3 linked regions of the Kluyveromyces lactis genome follow. The protein of the gene in region 3 binds, or shares a complex with, the protein of the main gene of each other region. Links are inferred from orthologs where the notes say so. Each region holds a gene or a part of one and is shown on either strand. Other genes may lie near its edges.

Region 1 (6,279 bases), on a different chromosome or scaffold from region 3:
CGCTGACGGTGTTTTCTACGCCGAATTGAACGAATTCTTCACCAGAGAATTGGCTGAAGAAGGTTACTCTGGTGTCGAAGTCAGAGTTACTCCAACCAAGACCGAAATTATCATCAGAGCTACTAAGGTTCAAGATGTTGTTGGTGAAAATGGTAGAAGAATCAACGAATTGACCTTGTTGATTGAAAAGAGATTCAAGTACAAGCGTGGTACCATTGCTTTATACGCTGAAAGAGTCCATGACCGTGGTTTGTCCGCTGTTGCTCAAGCTGAATCCATGAAGTTCAAATTGTTGAACGGTTTGGCCATCAGAAGAGCTGCTTACGGTGTTGTCAGATACGTTATGGAATCTGGTGCCAAGGGTTGTGAAGTTGTCATCTCCGGTAAGTTGAGAGCTGCTAGAGCCAAGTCCATGAAGTTCGCTGACGGTTTCTTGATCCACTCCGGTCAACCAGTCAACGACTTCATTGAAACCGCTACCAGACACGTTTTGTTGAGACAAGGTGTTTTGGGTATTAAGGTTAAGATCATGAAGGACCCATCTAGAAACACCTCTGGTCCAAAGGCTTTGCCAGATGCTGTTACCATCATCGAACCAAAGGAAGAAGAACCAGTTTTGGAACCTTCTGTCAAGGATTACAGACCAACTGAACCAGTTGAAGCTGCTGAATCTGCTTAAATCAATTGATATCTGTTTGATTCTATATTATTAATTAGTCTATTAAATACCGTTCTTATATGTATAAATATTAAGAAACTCATCAATTCTTTTAAAAATAAGTAATCTATGCCCAGATGACATCGATTAAAACGTCCTGCTTTTATCAATGGATTTTTAAAATGATTTATCGATAGCGCCTTCCGATAATGCCTTTCCGCCTTTCAGTTCCTTTATCTTTCATACTAATCAAAAAAATTCGGTGGGCAAAAATCATGTAAATTATTAAAAAAAAAGAGAATATATAGTGCGTACTGAAAAAACCAATGGCTCAATTATAGATGAATTGTTAACCATTTAATACCACACGTAGGGTCTATACGTTCCATTTTTAAGAGAACGTAGGTATCGCTCACTAAACACATTGACTGAAAGTAAATATGGGCCTAACTTATAAGGATTTTTGTGCTGTAGGTACAGCATTGATCATTGGATCAACTACTTTTTTGATGGGGATCTTCTTTTCTAATCAACCATATGACTATAATATCCTATTCAATCCTGCTGCCACGCCGGAGCATTTTGAGAACGCTTTGAAACACTACCAGACTCTATTCTACACGGCCAAGCCAACCCTTTATATGCTTGGTGCGGTGGCCATTGTGGGAGTCATTGGTTCCTTGATTAGGGTATACAAGCCAAATCCAGATTTGCAATTATTTGAATACGGTTCATTGGCTTTGTACGTTTTGGGTATCTGTGTTTTCTTAACAAATATCAAGACCGGTGTTGAATCTGCGGTTTACCATAACTGGGGTGAAGTCTCTGAGGCGCAAGGTATTGCTGTTGTTGCCTCTTCCAATATCATTATTTTAATTGTCTTTGCTGGTGTCTTAGTGTTGCAAGGAGGTTTGTGGTACAGTACCTGGGAATATGAACAAAGATTAGATCAATGGAGGAAAGACCAATTGAAGGAATCTGCCGCTAACCAACAGAAGGCGGAGAAAACTACTGAACCAGCTAAAACGGAATCTAAGAAGAAGAAATAGACGAAATTTGTTTCCTTACAGTTTGATGCGGTGAAGTATTTCGCGTTGCTTTCACTATTTACAAGCTCTTGTTCTATATATTATATAAATGATATGAAATACTTGGCTATTCCGACATGGATAACTTGAGATGAAACCCAAAGACAATCTAAGGACCTTATTATTGATGATTTAATTGCTGTATATTATCTTCACCCATTATCATTGGAAATAAACGTAATATGATAATGTTTAATATCTCATTACCATTTGTAAACACCACCCATAGAACCTCTGATGGGTTTATCTGCTAATTGAACCCACGGTTTCTTCCTTTGTTCTTTTAGTTTGGCTTCGTGCTCTAGTCTTCTCTTCGTTACACTCTTGGTCTTCAATATGCATTTGATATGCACATATGGGTGTTCAATGAGACCACGTCTACCTCTACCCTTCCATTCGACACGTTTTTGCCAAAATCCATCACTGCCGGTCCATATCTGGGAGATGTATAGGTCATTGGCATCCAAGCCAAGCTTCACACCATCATTAATACCGCGCTCCAATAATTCGGCAACATCACGGGCAACCTTTTTATCGGAGAAATGACATTGAGTCAAAGCTTTCTTAGCGTCCAATCCGTTCAAAAGTCTAAGCAGCTGTGTGGCCTTCTTCATAGATGATTTTACTCTGTAAGATTTAACATAGACACTAGGTTCAAGCACTTCTAATTCTTCATTCGTTAATCTCAAAGAACGATCTTTAGGGCGCACGCTTTTGTCGTAAAACCCACCGTTCAACCTAACCTGTTGTTCATAGAATTCCTTCTTAACTCTTGGTAACAAAAATTCTGGTAAACTTTTGATCATGGGGTCTTGTTCTTCGATATATTTCTGTAATTGTGTATCATTGGCTGCTGTAACTTTCTTTTTAGCCTCTGCCAGCTGGGTAGCAGCATCCAAATCATCTGACAGTTCGGTAGCAGTAGTCAACTTATTAGATAGTTTATTTGGATCGTCATCCTTCAACGGATTCACTCCATCGGTGACTTCACCGAATAGCGAACCTTGTGCAGATTTTTGTAGCTGCAATGCTGAAGCTTGAAAACTTCTTACACCGGAAGCCTTTCCCAAGCCGAACAGGCTAGTTACTGTCCTCGATAGCATTAAATTTTATATAGGTTGAACTGATGACAGAGCCTGCAACTAACCATGTAATTTACACGTGCCTCTAGTATTATACTGTAGGCATTTTATTACTTTGATCAATCCTTCTTCTGTACAATGTTTGATTATCAAAATTTTTTTGTTCGATGGTTAGGAAATATAAATCATCGTGAACGGGCATGAAGATATAAGGAATGGTTCTACTGTGTGGAGGAAGATATTGAAGTCCGACTATCTTGACGGGTTGTAAGATCACAAATTAGAAAAGCGTTAGTGTGGAATTGCTAGGAATTAAACCTTAAATATGAACTATATAACTGAAGATGCACAAAGAAGTATATTGAATAGAAGGGAAAATTTAAGTACAAATTTGAAAACTTTGTAATTAGAGTTTGGTAAGATCAGTGTTCGATTAGTTCCGTTAAATATCCGTGAGCGTTCTGTGGGTTTTCATCGTAAGTAACTGACATTTCAGTGTCATGTGTACCCTCATCGGTGGAAGATGACACAAAGGATGAATGTAGTGATGTTGTGGAAGGCGTCTGAGACTCTGGATCTGCAATCGATACAACATATTCGTCGTCGAATGGATTTGTCGTCTGTGGCCTCCTGACAGAATCTGCAACATATGGAGGCACTGAGGGCAAACTTTTTGAAACTTTGTTATTATTATGAGCAGTCGTCGATACTCTGGTTGTAGTCTTGGTGGTTTGCTGAGACTGTGCAATAAACGTTCCGATATCGTCGTATCCCATTTTTCTCCCAATGTCGTGGGAGAAGCTCTTTTCGTGTTCGATAAGATTTCTCCTTCGTCTCTTCCTAAATAATAAATAGATCACCAGTATCATTAGCGCCAGACCTCCCACGCTTCCTATTACACCACCGATTATTGTATCTTTATTTGATCCAGACGATGTTGAGTTGGAATCCAATGCGCCAGATAGCCATCTTTCGTAAAAAGATGTGTCAGTCACAACTGGACCTGTAGGTGTAGTGAAAGTAGCCTCTGTGGGTATCACTGTAAGTGTCGGTAGTCCTTTAGTAAAGGTGGTTGAAGTGTCAGTAAAGATGAAATCTCGTGTGTAATAAACCACAGTTTCAGAAGACGGTACTTCAGTGGTCAACGTTAACCAAGTCGGTGTAGGCACAGTGGCAGTAGCTTCTGTACCCTCAACAGATGTGTATTCTTGGGTCGCGGTGTTCTCGGGATAAATTGTTTGCATTACTATGTTGCTCGGTCCTGAGCTCATCTCAAGTACCGTCACCATTGCCGTGTCTACATCTGTATGCGACGTTGAATCATCTGTTGACGGCGGTACCCAAACTGTAGATGGCGATACTATGCCAGGTGAATCCGAATCCGAATGTGATCTGTTTGGATATACCAGAACCGTCCTGGTCTTCATACCATGTGGCTGCTGCGTAGAATTTCCTGAGTCAGGGTTGATGTAATCCGTTCGTAAACTAGCAACGCTTTGTGAGAACGACTCCGAACTTTCTGTCAGTGTATCTGACGAAGAAACAACAGATGAATAATCAGTACCGTCAGTGGTAGTGTTGAACAACATCTTTAGGTGAACTGGCCAGTGAGATCCTGTTATAGATCTTGAAATTTAATAGTTTCCTTGGTACAACTGCTTTACGCTTGTAACGGTTTTTCGGTAAAAAAAATGATGTAGCAATCGACTTCACCCTTTCTCAAGCAACTAGCAACTTATGTATCGTCACCCACTACCTTATAAGTCCTGCCTTAGCGTCCCTTGATGGATGTATAGAGAAGTTGACGACGTTACCCTCGCCTATTTCTCCTTATGCAAGGCTTCTATTAGTAGACCTGCTTCAAGTTCTATATTTGTTTGCTGCTCTCGAATGCGTAAAAGAAAAAAAAAAAAGTCGTGCTCGCCGGTCGTGGAGAAGGATTCTCGAGACTGAGCGGTGAAGAAAAACAAGATGCAGCCTTCGACTTGCAGCAGAAGGATGATAACAGAGAACCTCAGTCCCATACGTCCTTCTATACTTTATTTTTGATAAGTATATATTCCTATGAGAGAATATAAATATGGGTATATGATCTATTTCGAACTAATATACAAGATTTTGATATATTTCATGTTTTCTTGACGCACATTAAAAAGTTGTCTTCTTACCTTGCGATGGCACAATGGCTGCAGATCCTCTTTGAGCAGAAGCCAATGCAACACTACTTTTCAAACGATTGTTAGAATCCTTGTGAGATGGTTGTCTATTGGAATAGGATGGTGCACGTCTTTCCCTAATTGGTGGTGGTGCTGCTGATGATGACGGTTGAGTCGTCTTTATGTCAAATGATGGCTTCCTTGGTTCCCTGGCATCTAACTCAGGTCTCCTTCTCACTTGTCTCTTTGATCTATCTTCACCGTATTCCATTCTAATAGGTCTGCTTGCAATCTTTCTACAACTTTTATCTTTAAGCGCATTGGTAGCACCTGTTTCGTCCTTAAAATCGATAAATGCAAACCCTTTACACTTACCAGTGTCTTCGAAAGTAGCCATTCTTATCCTCATAATTTCACCACAGTGTTGGAAGTGCTTCCTCAGTAGGTCTTCGGTAGTATCAAACGACAAATTACCAACAAATAGAATTCTGGATGGTGGGTTCTTTGATGCAGCTACTAGATCATTCTTATCTGGTCTTCCTTCATAACTGCCAGCGTTCTTGATGAGCAAGTTTCTTCCGTTTAGTGCACTTTCACTCAAACCAACTACAGCTTCCATTTGCTTCTCAGTTTTAAAATCAATGTAAGCAAAACCTTTATTTCTGAGTTTCTTGTTGTCATTCTTGGTCAATGGCATGTTTATTCTAACAATATCTTTCTCGGTAATAGCACCTCCTTCGTCATTCTCCTTTGTCTTTGCAACTATAAACCTAATTATATCTTCTTTCACGGTATCAAAAGCCATATTTCCAACCCAAACACCGAACTTCTTCTCCTTATTAGGTTTGGAAGTTATTTTTTCCTCCTCGACGTTGGTCTCCTCTGATGAACCTTCTTTTTTATTGGATGTATCTTCATTATCCTGTTTCTCGGCGGTTTCTTTCTTGTACTCTTCGATAGATTTCGAGTCAATGTTGTATTTAGCGTTTAATTCTTCAATTGTAACCTTACCTCTTCTCAATAAACGTTTCTGCTTTTTAGATAAAGGCACGGATTGGTTTAAATCAATTTCAATCTCATCTTCAGCCTTTCTCTTCTTGGTGGGGTCCTTTAAGACTTGACTTACAGCATCATCCACTTTTTTAACCTCTTTGCTGGAATCCGACATGTCGATTACTTTCGCTTATCTGAGTTCTTGTTCAACAATCTCAGTAGAAATGAAGGATCTACTTTGTAAAGGAGTCTGCAAGTATCTTTATACCATTTCAAGCTCATCTCATCTCATCTCATCTCAA
Region 2 (5,873 bases), on a different chromosome or scaffold from region 3:
AAAACAATTGGAAGTGAAACATTGATGTAGGATATATGCAGAAGATAAGAAAACTATGACATCTTCTCTTTCATAGCTTTTAACTTGGCCTGGTGTTCGAGTTTTCTTTTGTTCAAAAACTCCTTGTACTTGTCAATGGTGACACGTCTTTGTTTTTTCTCATACTCTTCAAATCCATGATACTTGGTGTCACAAAACTTATCCCATATGGTAAAGAATGGTTGAGAAAAATTGGACTTGATACCAAAAGACTGATGGTGAATGTCGTGATACACTGCATTATTTGAAAACAACCACTGGAATGGGTCCAGGGGCAAAGCATATCCGCAATGATCGTCCACTGTTTTCAAAGTAGCAAAAGTGTATAGAACAACTTGTTCTGTATGATTTAATTGTGTCACGATTGCAGCAATGCCTGTACCCAAAGTGTCAAGGAGGAAACCTTCCACTGGGGAATTGTACAATGCACCGTACGCATAAGGAACATATAACCTATGATGACGTGAGTGGAATTTTTTGTAAAGTGTCTTATTCATATGCATCACCCTATGCAGCCAATACTGCCACGAATCTACGATACAAAACCCAATAAATATCCTTATCATAGACCATCCATAGCAATACATAAACTTGATGAAAACAGATGGTACGAAAAAGGGTAAAGATTGCCTCCATTTCCACATCTCATACTTCTCAAACCCTGAAGTCGGCACAGGATCCAAGTAGAGCATACCAAGTCCAGTAAATGTTTGAATGAAATGTTGTAATATCACCTCTTTTAAAACCTCTAATCTTGAGGCCTTATTCCGCTGTTGTACTTCCTCGCTTGGATGAATCCTGTACTGTTCGAAAACCTCATTGGTATCAATGTAATGGAAAAACATCGAATAAAGCCAATAAGCAACAACAGGTAGTGCTAAGGCAAGTTTCCCATCAGAAATCCAAGGCAAAATATCCTGTTTCTTCGTTATCACAGAAGCAGGTGGAGCTTTAGAATTCATAAACGACACATCCATAGCATCTTTCACCTGCAAATACAAGTGCTGCACTGCACTTTCAACAATATTTGCCATAGTTATAAAACCGATACAGCACACGCAAAATATTGTATCTCCTTATCCTCGAACTGTATCCGACAGAAAACAGCTCCTCTCAAGTATAAATGGACTTATAAGTTTTGTATGACACTGCAAATATCAGTTTGTGTATCTGATTTCGTATCTTGCTTCGTATTTTATATAGTTGCTGTCTCTCTTCAGTATGATCAAAAAAAAAGAAACAGTAACTCCAGAATAACTTTTTACCTAATCTCAAGCCTTACCCTTTCAATATTATTGCAGCCTTCTTCGCTTGGTATGCCAACATTAGCCTATACGCTTCGTATAAATACAACCACTGATCTTATAACGCAATACATTTATAACGCAATTCTGTATTCTCGACACCATGTTATGCTAGAAAAACTAAGAAAAACCCGAAGCCTCTAAGGGAAAACAGGATTGTCGTTAAAGAAACACCAGAGAAAACCAGAGAAACGGTGTTAAGGTTTCTCAAATTTGGTCATGTGACATTTTTTTTGCTTTTTCTTTGGTGTCCGGGTTCCTGCTTCTTCTTCCGTTAGGCGTTAATGCATGCATGAGACACATATGGTATGAAGCGGTAGAAAAGTAGAGGAAGTAATATGATGATTACAGAACCTTTGATATTTAGGTTACGTGATGATGGAAACAAGGGAGAAAACTGCTAGTAATCACCTTGTCAAATCAGTTAAACGCCGGTAGTGAGCTGAGGGTTTGTTTATATTATTTACAGAGTCGGATTGTCTGCGGGTTATATATGTACATGTAGTGATTTCTTAAAGACGTGACGAGTGAAGCAGTGAAAGATCTGAGCTCGGCTCAGCTTTTGCAACTGGAAATAGTTTGTATTTGCTTGTTTTCTTTTGTAACTCATAGAGAGATGTTTTGAGCAGCTGACTCCTGTTGTCTCACTCTTGCGAACTCTTCTTTGGCTCTTTCGCCTAGTTCTTTCAAAATTGCACTTTCCTCTCTGGAAACGTTCCCCAAACGTTCTAGTGTTGTGTGATTCAACTCTGGCAATACTGGGTTCCAGTATTTCTCTTTATCCCCCATTCTCCATTCGTCTTCCCAATGGACCTTAATGGACGATTGGACGTCTTTCAACTTTAGGAGACATTCTCGCAAATCGGCAACCGCTTCTTGAGAGTATGTTGGTCTGTATTGCGATGAGTACCATGTGTGGCCGGACTCATTCTTCTTTCTCATGTCTTTTGCCTGTTTACTGAATGTCACATCACGGAGATATCTTAATCTGCACAAATTCTGGTATACTTTTACACTCTTGTCGTAGTCTGGTAGATCAACAACAGCCATACATTTCCAAATATCACGTCTGGTGCTTGGTTTCTTATTCTCCCAGTTGGGTCTTTGGAAATTGGTATCAATTTGCTTCCAAGAAAAAGTCGGGAATTGAGAGTACAGCACTTGTCCACTCTCTAGGTTTCTGAATAAAAAGACTTGTGGTGCATACCCTGCTTTCTGTAGCCAGTTGGCTGGACGGAACTTGGTAATAGCTAAATGCTTGCTCATCTCTTCCTAGTGCCCTATGGTGTCTTCAAGCCTTATTTGTTAACAACAAAAGCCTTGATCCTCAGAGTTCTCTTCTATCTCCAGTGCTATTGATGGACTTCTGAAGAGTTATTTAAATACAATGTGTGCACAAATGTGGTGATCTCTTCTGTAATCAAGCTAAACTAACTATCAGCTTTCTCTTTTTCAAAATTTTTCAGCTTTTTCAGATGCCATAAACAACTTCGTAGAAACACTGAAAATTAAAGAGAATGAACCTAATATATACATTACCCGGATCTTGTGATGATATTGAATTCTCCGCTACCTGCTCTATCTTATCTTGGATCTCATCTCCAGAGAAAGGTTTTCCTATCAGCAGACACGCACAGTAGAGTTATCACCTTCATCCGTCAAGTGTCCGCATATTCCACCATCTAGAACTTGATGTTTGAATTGAATTATGGAGCCGTTCCTACGTCCCGGACAGATTGCTTAGCTAGAGTTCTCGATTGTGGAGATGATAACCGTGGATCGATAAGTGCCATTTGTGAGCCGGACTTGACAATTGACGGGAATTCAAGCCTAGCAAGCAGTGAGAATTATACCAATTGTAAAATCTGTGGAGGGTTTGCGAATTTTTTATGTTCAAGAGATTCACGAGCTGGGTGGTTTTGTTCTTTTTGTAATGCTTATAATGAACTAGGGAATATTCCATTATCATCGTCATACCTAAAACATTTAGGAACTGCTGCTGTGCCTACGCATTCCAAGTTCGCCATAATCATCGATCTTAATTGTGAATTTGAGGAAAATCTAGACGCGTTGAAGATGTTACAATTTGGTTCTGTCCAGTCATTGGCCCTGATCACGATTGAAGATGGGTCTGTCACTATTCATACTGACGGGTCACACATTACCGTAGATGCAGAATCTAGTAGTTGTATCAGCCATCTTAAGAAGCTTGACACAGAATGGTTCATTGCAAAGTATGGGCTTTTAGTGAGGAAGATTTGGACGGACCAAATATCTTTCGGTGCTAAACTCGCGGAACTTCTATGTCAACGGACTAGGTCAAAAAAAAGATGTAGAAGAAACACTGCACTCGCTATTTTTCTAGCACAATGTCTAAACCCATCACAATCCATTGCATTTGTTTTCGGACCCTGTACAGTAGCACCAGGTAAGGTTATCTCAATGGACCGAAAAAATCATATCAGGCAGCATAGAAATATAGAGGAAGACAAGGATGTGAAATATTGGAAACCTTCTAGAGAATTTTACAATAAAATGAGTAAGTCCTTAAAGTTTGCTCCATGCACGGTATTCGTCGCATCCATGGATCAGGTCGGAATATGGGAGATGAGATCCTGTTTGAACAACTTTATTCAATACGAATCCTTCAATGATAGAAATTTCATATATGATTGGCAGGCGTATATTCAAGGGAAAGGATGTTATGAAATAACCAGAATTGTTATCAAAACTTCTAACAAGCTATTACTGAATGGGATCTTTGGTCCAGTCTCATCCTTGAAAGACAAGGACACACATGTATCTGACACTCCAAAGGGCTTTGGAGGGTCTGGAACCTTCCGTTACAAAGGGCCAAGTAGTAATCTACCATCAATTTTGATAAGTTTATCTGTTGATACATCTCGCAGCGCTGCTGAAGCCTTGCAAGAAATGCCAGATAAATTTTCCTTTCAAATGGAATGCTACTATAAACACTTGAATCAAGAATACGTTTCTGTAGAAACGAAATTTATTCCCAGTACAACCTTACCAGGTGAACATCTTTTAACCCAAAATTTCCACTGGGATATAATGGCTGGATCCATAATGAAAAAAATATCTTTCGCTGTCTTGTTTCAAGGCAAGTTTTATGATTACGATCTAAGGTGGTGGACGTTAGAAATAGTAAAACTTCTTAAATCATTGAATGCCATCGATGTTCCTGGCATTAAATCCTTACAAGAAGTAACGTACTTTATGCAAAGATCAACTCTCTTAAGGAAGAGAAATACATCGCCTGACGAGTGGATCGTCTACCATTGGACAATTCTGAATTCCCCTTTAAGTCATATATTCAAGATGGTTAGACCCCAAGTGTATTCGACCACAGGGCTTATTCAAAATACAACTGACATCCTTAATTATGCCGAACCTTTATTGGTAGATGGTGGTAACGTCCTTGTGGTACGAGATACTTCAGTAGGAGATAGCAGAGTTGACAGTTTGAAGGCAGCTGCTGATACCATATACCACGATGGAAGTCGATTTCCAAAGCCTTGGTATCGAGAAACCAAGCCAGGTGCTAGTCAGGATAGATTTGTAATTGCACGACTAGGCTTAACTGCAGAACATTCTTTGCATTCTGATGACCTCACGCTTGATAAATACATGGCACTGTTTAAATCAAAAAGTACTGCATGAAAAGTATGTAATCATTCATTTTACCTCTCAACAGATATCATGAACTCTATATATATATAACCAAAACCAAAAGGTTAGAATAGTTCCCCATTTACTGTCGCAACCTTCGAATCTATCGCTCCCCCTTTGAATAACAATTGTATGGCAGGAAAAGATACTATGTACGTATTCCTTGGTTTCTCCATCTGTCGCTTTTCAAAAATGACATATTTCATTTTTTAAAAGATACTATATAATTAAATCTAACCATTCTTTCCGAATAGCACATTAAAAGCCAGAGTCCAGAGGAAAAGAAAGAGAAACTGCAAGCGCGAGCCATTGGGTCGTTTCATTAGGGAAAGAAAGATGAACTCCACTTCCAACCGGACTCAGGTATTTTATATACCTGTTGGCCTAACTCAAGTTCAGAAAGATTTGTTGGAAATTTTAATCTCGATACATGCAGAGTCGTTTGTCTCATGTGTAGATAAACGTCTACTGCCAGAACTACAATCTAAATTAGAAAAAAAAGGGACAAATCTCAAAAGAGACTTGAGTATGACTGCATTAACAGATGTTCAGTTAACTGAATGGTTCTTCGAAAATATAAGAGCTGTCTCGAATCACCCTTGCCTGTTAGTTGAGCATTATATGCCTAGACAGTTTTTGTTAATGGAACCAACTGAAAGGTTGATATACACCAGCGATAAATTTGGCAAGTTAAATCTAATGGTTGATCTTTTATTGAATCGTAAGGACAAATCGAGGCCATTGCAAGTTGCTATCATTTCACATTCTGTGAAAGAATTGGATTTGATTGAAGGCGTCATGTTGGGAAAAGTTGCAAAGTTGAAGAGGTTATCTGGAACT
Region 3 (5,472 bases):
TTGACGTGATCAAAGTCCACGTCCATCAATAACCTAATGTCAACTATTATTCTGAAATGACCACTCCATTTATCAGCAGAAGTAAAAAATACGTTTACTGTCCCCAAGTTTTCTTACTTAGCAGTACCTGTATAAACTTCTTCTTGCATATATTTATTTCGATACAAGTAATAAAGTTAAACCCCAATGACTTGCATACTGATCCACTCTCCACGGATAACATGAAAAAATATACCTCTTGAACTATTTATTACATGATATAATACATCTGCAGCATTATAGTACCCGTTAATCTAATAAGGAATTTAATTCTAGCGTATCCAATCCTTGTCCGTTATATTCCTCACCAAGTTCGATTGTTATGCTTTCATTATCAGAATCCAGTTCTAGATTGTGCTTGTGATTGTTATACCTGGTAGGGGAAACGAGATCTTCATCTGTAGCAGCTAAACTTATAAGTTCTGGATCTCTTTCTTCTGTATCAAACGTTATTGATTCAACCTGGAATGGAGATCTATGATGCTGAAGTTTCTCGATGGATTCCTTATCAAAGGGGTCGTACCCATTAGGTATATACGGTAGTTCTTTTTGTCTCTTGGGTGCATACTCAATGTTTAGTTCATCTTCTTTCTCTCTGATAAGGGCTTTTAATCCGTTGCCAAACCCAAGGTTTAACGATTTTCCGCTGGGAAATATGGGTAAATCATCCTCCTCATCCTCCTCATCTTCGTCGTCATTCTTTTCATTTAGCTCTGTATCTTTCAGCACCAATGACTTCGTTCGTGGCATAAAAGTGTTCATCCCCAGGACACTTCCGTATTTCTTCAGTTTATTTTCAGGCATATTCTTCATAAAGCTACTGGCGGGCCTTTTTAAAGGGTGATCACTCTTTCCCAACGCAGCATTATTCTTCACACTTAGTATAGATTGCGTCCTGTTATTATCTTTGCTAGCTAGTGGGCGTCTGTTGCCCCGTACTAATGAGTCCGTCCGCTTCATCTGGTTTAGAGGGGTCCTCAGACCCAAATCATTGTCAGGATCTTGGACGGATATGATATTCTCCTTCCCTTCGTTCGGCATAGCTATTTGAATCTGTATATAGCCAATATCTCTTCTAGTCTGACTTCACGCTAGCTTAACAGACAAAATTGGAATATCTTACCGTTGATTGCTCGGCTTTGAACGACCTTGAGCTCTTACTGTTTGTAAATTTTGAGACAGTTTTTGTTATGTTTGTATATTTGTGTTGTTGTTTTTGATCGAATTTGGTGAATCAAACTGAGTATATGTGGTGTATGGATGTTACGGTGATACTGGATACATCTTCATTGCTTAGTACTCATGAAAATACTCCAAAAGAATCCGGAATGTCGCGATGCTTTGAGACTATGCCCACGTCAACAAGGAGCAGTAGCAGTGCCTACTACAAAATGTGAGTTTGTGTCGCTGTTCTTCCTGGTTTCGTTTCGTGTCTGGCTTTCCAAATTGCAATATGGAATAGTAAGTAGGTACGAAAATTTTCTAGCCTAGAGCACACACATGACGATCTTCATACAGAGAACAGGCTCGGAAGAGGTTCTGTATTAATCTAAAGACGAAGGTTATTACTGTTTAAAATAGGTCATAATCGAATGGACATACTGTGAAGTATTGTGCGTATTTTTTTGACAACAGTTTTGGAGGTTGACGATGAAGGCTAGTCTTCTGAGAACTTCGAAATTATACAAGGGTCTTCATTCAATAACTAAAGACGCCATTTCGAAGGTGGACACTTTCCCCAAGAATAAGCAACATGAAACGCTACATCGGTTAAACTCTTTCAATGAGAATCCAACACGCAAGACCTTGGAGAAATTAGTCTATTCTGTTCATTTCCATTTGTTGAACGATCCTCCTAAACACGTAGACATATTGAGACAATACCCTAATGAGTTGGCAAAATTTTGGCCCTATGAAATGCAGCACTCGATTTTAGAAATGGATGACCCAAATCTAACATCTCAAACGATTTTATGGTCTCGTAACAATAAGGATGCTTTGGATTTCTTGAGCTTCAATCGTCATAAGTGGCTGCGGCCGAAAAACTGGCAGACTCCGAATGAGGAACTTATAAAAGATATCACAGGAATTGACGGTCTTCAATCAACTCAAATTACAGAAGTATTAAGACTCCCTGCAGAAAAGATAAAGGAGACACTACGGCAAATTTTCGAGCATTACTATTTCTTGAAGACAAATCCGAAACTATGCGCTACAAAAAAACTCCAGGCACCAATCGTTGAGATCGGAATGAAACCTGATGGTTTCGATATAGCCGACATCAGGATCGATAACTTGTTTAAGAAAAAGGTCAAGCTAATTAGTGACCTGCTCTACTCGCAAAATCCGGTGCTGACTTCAGATGCAGAGTCTATATTAACGTCAATAGTTAACGACCCAGATCTCAATAGGCGAACGAAAAGATTGTATAAAAATGTTGCCAGCAGATCTTACCTTTTCAAAGATGGGAAGTTCGAAATAAGTGAACTTGCTAGAGGCGGATTTGTCCTGTCGAAGGAAAATTTGAGCGAGAACTTAGCTGCTGCCCTTGAGGAAGAACATAATTGACTTATGAACACACATCACGTGATATATAATTTACCTACAGCTACCATTTTAGCTCAATGTAAATAGAAAACACTTTAATAATAATGTTAGCCAGGAAATGAAACCGCCAATACACTTATTGTAACAGACTAGTCTAAGACCGATTTGAAGTTTCAGCGGTTTGCTAGAAGCCAAGTTTGTTCGCTTCCACAGATGCTTTCACTATTTCCAACATCCATCGATATTTTCATACATTTACATTAGTCTCGAGAAAGAAAAAATTTGAATTCAAAGAAATCAAACGAAGAGAAACCAGGACATATTTCTTGAAGACGAAGTCTCCTAAAAGTAGTCGCCCGAACTACTCATTAGTTATCGATAAGGATTTAATTCGAAGTGAAGAACAATTAAAATAAAATCTCATCCAGTCGTTATGAGTTTTATAACAAGAAATCTTCTTCAGTGGACCTCAAAACGTACATTAACCAGTTTCTCTAGTTTCTCACCTTTAAGAACACTAGACTCACGTCTTCATAGACCTTTGGCGCAAGTCAATCCAATGGAAATCACTTTACAATCTCAAACACAAGCAAATGGCTCATCAATATTTGGTATGTTGTTCGATTTGACTCAGAGAAGATGGAAAAGTAGAGGTAACACTTTCCAACCGAGTACTTTAAAGAGAAAGAGAAGAGTGGGGTTCCTAGCAAGGGCAAGATCTAGAAGTGGACAACAGATACTTAAAAGAAGAAAGAATAAAGGCAGATGGTATTTGACTTATTAGTTCTGTTCAACTTTCCAATCAAACCAGGAACGTTATGGAAGCGCCTGATTATAAAGAATGGCTGAATCTCCTGTATATATATCCACATCGTCATTATGTATTTTAAGAAAACGGAACAGTTTTGATTTTAGCTTTGCCATCAGAAAGCTGGCATGACATTAAGATGATTCTATCGGATAGGTTTATAGTTATCAATTGCAGAAGGAATCTTTTTTCTATTAACGATTTCTATGTACATGGGCATTATTTCTGAAGTAAGTTTCATTCTATCTTGACAAGGACAACAATTCCAGTTATTGTTCATAAAAATTGGGTTGCTTTATTAAGCAAAGTCAATCACAATACCAGGACCGTGTGTACTTGTCAGCGTAGTTTGGGACAATATGCTTGGTTTTTTCGTTTGTTGATTGGTGATAGATTGTTTGAAAGCCTTCTGTGTTGCCAACAAGTTCTCTAGAACTTCCTTGTCAGTGAAATGGGTCTTGGCAACACCTAAACTAATACTGTTACCACGTTGTCTGAATGGAACAGAGCTCATACTATCTTTAATCAATGGCTCAAGATCTTCGGCGACGGTTCCCTTCTTGGCAGTTGGCAGTAAACCACGAGGACCCAAAATTCTACCAACTTGAGAAGCAAGTTGTGGAACAATATCTGGAGTTGCAAAAGCCTTGTCAAAGTCGATACTGACTTCACCAGCCTTGATTTGACTTACTAAATCTGAACCGCCGACTAAATGAACACTGTATTTATCTTTCATCAAAGCCGCTTGTGCCTCGTCATTAGTGAAGACAGCAACTTTCACATCTTTAAGAGGTTTGCCGAAGGAAACATTACCTGTAAGAGGGGGGACACCTCTTTCTGCTACCACCAATGTAGTTAACGTGATGGTTTGTTGGCTTGCTGGTTGCCCGACTTCGATTGCACGTAAGTATCTTAGTGCTCTAGAAACTGGCATATACAGTGGATGGTCACTGGCCGGAGTTTTTGCTTGCAATCTTCTTTGAACCATTTTTCTTAGCTCCCTCTTTCTAAGTTGCTCTTTAGTCAACTTAGTACCCGTTTCTTCCGCTAGACGGAAGGACGTTATCTGGAACTGCCTGGTGAATATTCTTGGAAACATCTTGCCGACCCTATTAGCCTCTAAGTAGCGAAATTGGAAAAAATCTCAGGTTATTCAGAGACACAAGTCTTTGAAGTTTTTACGTGAAATAGTTGAAAATTGATTGTATCCTCTCCAAAGGGTAATATAACGTCAACTCGTTGTTCTCATCGTTCTTGTTAACGCTTCCAAGATTTTAATCCAACTAATCATTATACTAAAGCTGAAAAAATTTTGATACATCGACAAATCCGGGTAATATGTAATTGGTATACTGTTTATGTAGGTGAATAAGACGAGGAAGAAGATGAGTTATCTATGATATACAAGGCCCTGGAAAGACCACAAAGAGCAGTTTCACATAATGCCTATCTGCATAAGTGTACCTTACAGCTTCTTCTTTTGTTTTGGTTTGACTTTATTTTCAAACGAAATCCATTTAGTAGGAATACCGTAGTCATTCAAAATAGAGATTACGATTGAACCGTGTGGACCCTGAACCTGGACTTCAGCAGTTTTCGTCGATTTAGACTCACCAATGGTGGTGGATCCGCTGCACTTCTTTCTTAATGCAGCAGCTAATTCTTCAGAGTCAATTTTAAACTTTTCAAAATTAGTGACTCTTGTGATGACCTTCCTACCAATTTTCTTCTCCGTGACAATTTCAAGAGTTGGGATGGGTCCCTTCTCTGGTACTTTGAGAAGCGGTTCACCATTAGGCTTGTAGATTTGGTGGTAGGTGTTGAAGTTTTTTGAGAGGAAAGTGGGCGAAACTATTAGCCCTCTTGCAATTTTCTGTATTCCACCATTTTGGGGAGCTCTGTTAGACATTTGATAAAGCGTATCATCATATTTGACAAGAGATTTGTTCTCCGGATCTATTAGATTGTTATTGGCGACATACAAATCTAGAAGCTTTTTTAACTCTTGTTGAGTGTAGTAACTCTGTGGGACATCGGCGGTTATTCCGGTAATGAATCTTTGGCATGCGCTCATTGGT

The links. The genes of interacting proteins can lie anywhere in the genome.
Region 1: MRX14 (region 3) and MRPL22 share a complex: the UniProt entries of both Saccharomyces cerevisiae proteins name them as parts of the mitochondrial large ribosomal subunit. The link is inferred for Kluyveromyces lactis from reciprocal best matches to the Saccharomyces cerevisiae genes MRX14 and MRPL22.
Region 2: MRX14 (region 3) and MHR1 share a complex: the UniProt entries of both Saccharomyces cerevisiae proteins name them as parts of the mitochondrial large ribosomal subunit. The link is inferred for Kluyveromyces lactis from reciprocal best matches to the Saccharomyces cerevisiae genes MRX14 and MHR1.

What each region holds. Positions count from the first base shown.
Region 1 is NC_006040.1:700,025-706,303, reverse strand, and holds MRPL22 (mitochondrial 54S ribosomal protein uL22m), read right to left. Parts: upstream 2,850-6,279; coding exon 1,950-2,849; downstream 1-1,949. Other genes in the region: RPS3 (40S ribosomal protein uS3), read left to right, coding at 1-679; SHR3 (Shr3p), read left to right, coding at 1,099-1,707; TDA7 (Tda7p), read right to left, coding at 3,251-4,417; NOP13 (Nop13p), read right to left, coding at 4,977-6,152. UniProt on the Saccharomyces cerevisiae protein: Component of the mitochondrial ribosome (mitoribosome), a dedicated translation machinery responsible for the synthesis of mitochondrial genome-encoded proteins, including at least some of the essential transmembrane subunits of the mitochondrial respiratory chain.
Region 2 is NC_006039.1:891,987-897,859, forward strand, and holds MHR1 (mitochondrial 54S ribosomal protein mL67), read right to left. Parts: upstream 2,610-5,873; coding exon 1,950-2,609; downstream 1-1,949. Other genes in the region: SUR2 (sphingosine hydroxylase), read right to left, coding at 54-1,073; GTPase-activating protein NEL1, read left to right, coding at 3,036-5,024; HDA2 (Hda2p), read left to right, coding at 5,370-5,873. UniProt on the Saccharomyces cerevisiae protein: Component of the mitochondrial ribosome (mitoribosome), a dedicated translation machinery responsible for the synthesis of mitochondrial genome-encoded proteins, including at least some of the essential transmembrane subunits of the mitochondrial respiratory chain.
Region 3 is NC_006042.1:1,779,805-1,785,276, forward strand, and holds MRX14 (mitochondrial 54S ribosomal protein bL34m), read left to right. Parts: upstream 1-3,019; coding exon 3,020-3,370; downstream 3,371-5,472. Other genes in the region: PDS1 (securin), read right to left, coding at 289-1,080; GEP5 (Gep5p), read left to right, coding at 1,690-2,607; MRPL1 (mitochondrial 54S ribosomal protein uL1m), read right to left, coding at 3,693-4,493; TMA64 (Tma64p), read right to left, coding at 4,860-5,472. UniProt on the Saccharomyces cerevisiae protein: Component of the mitochondrial ribosome (mitoribosome), a dedicated translation machinery responsible for the synthesis of mitochondrial genome-encoded proteins, including at least some of the essential transmembrane subunits of the mitochondrial respiratory chain.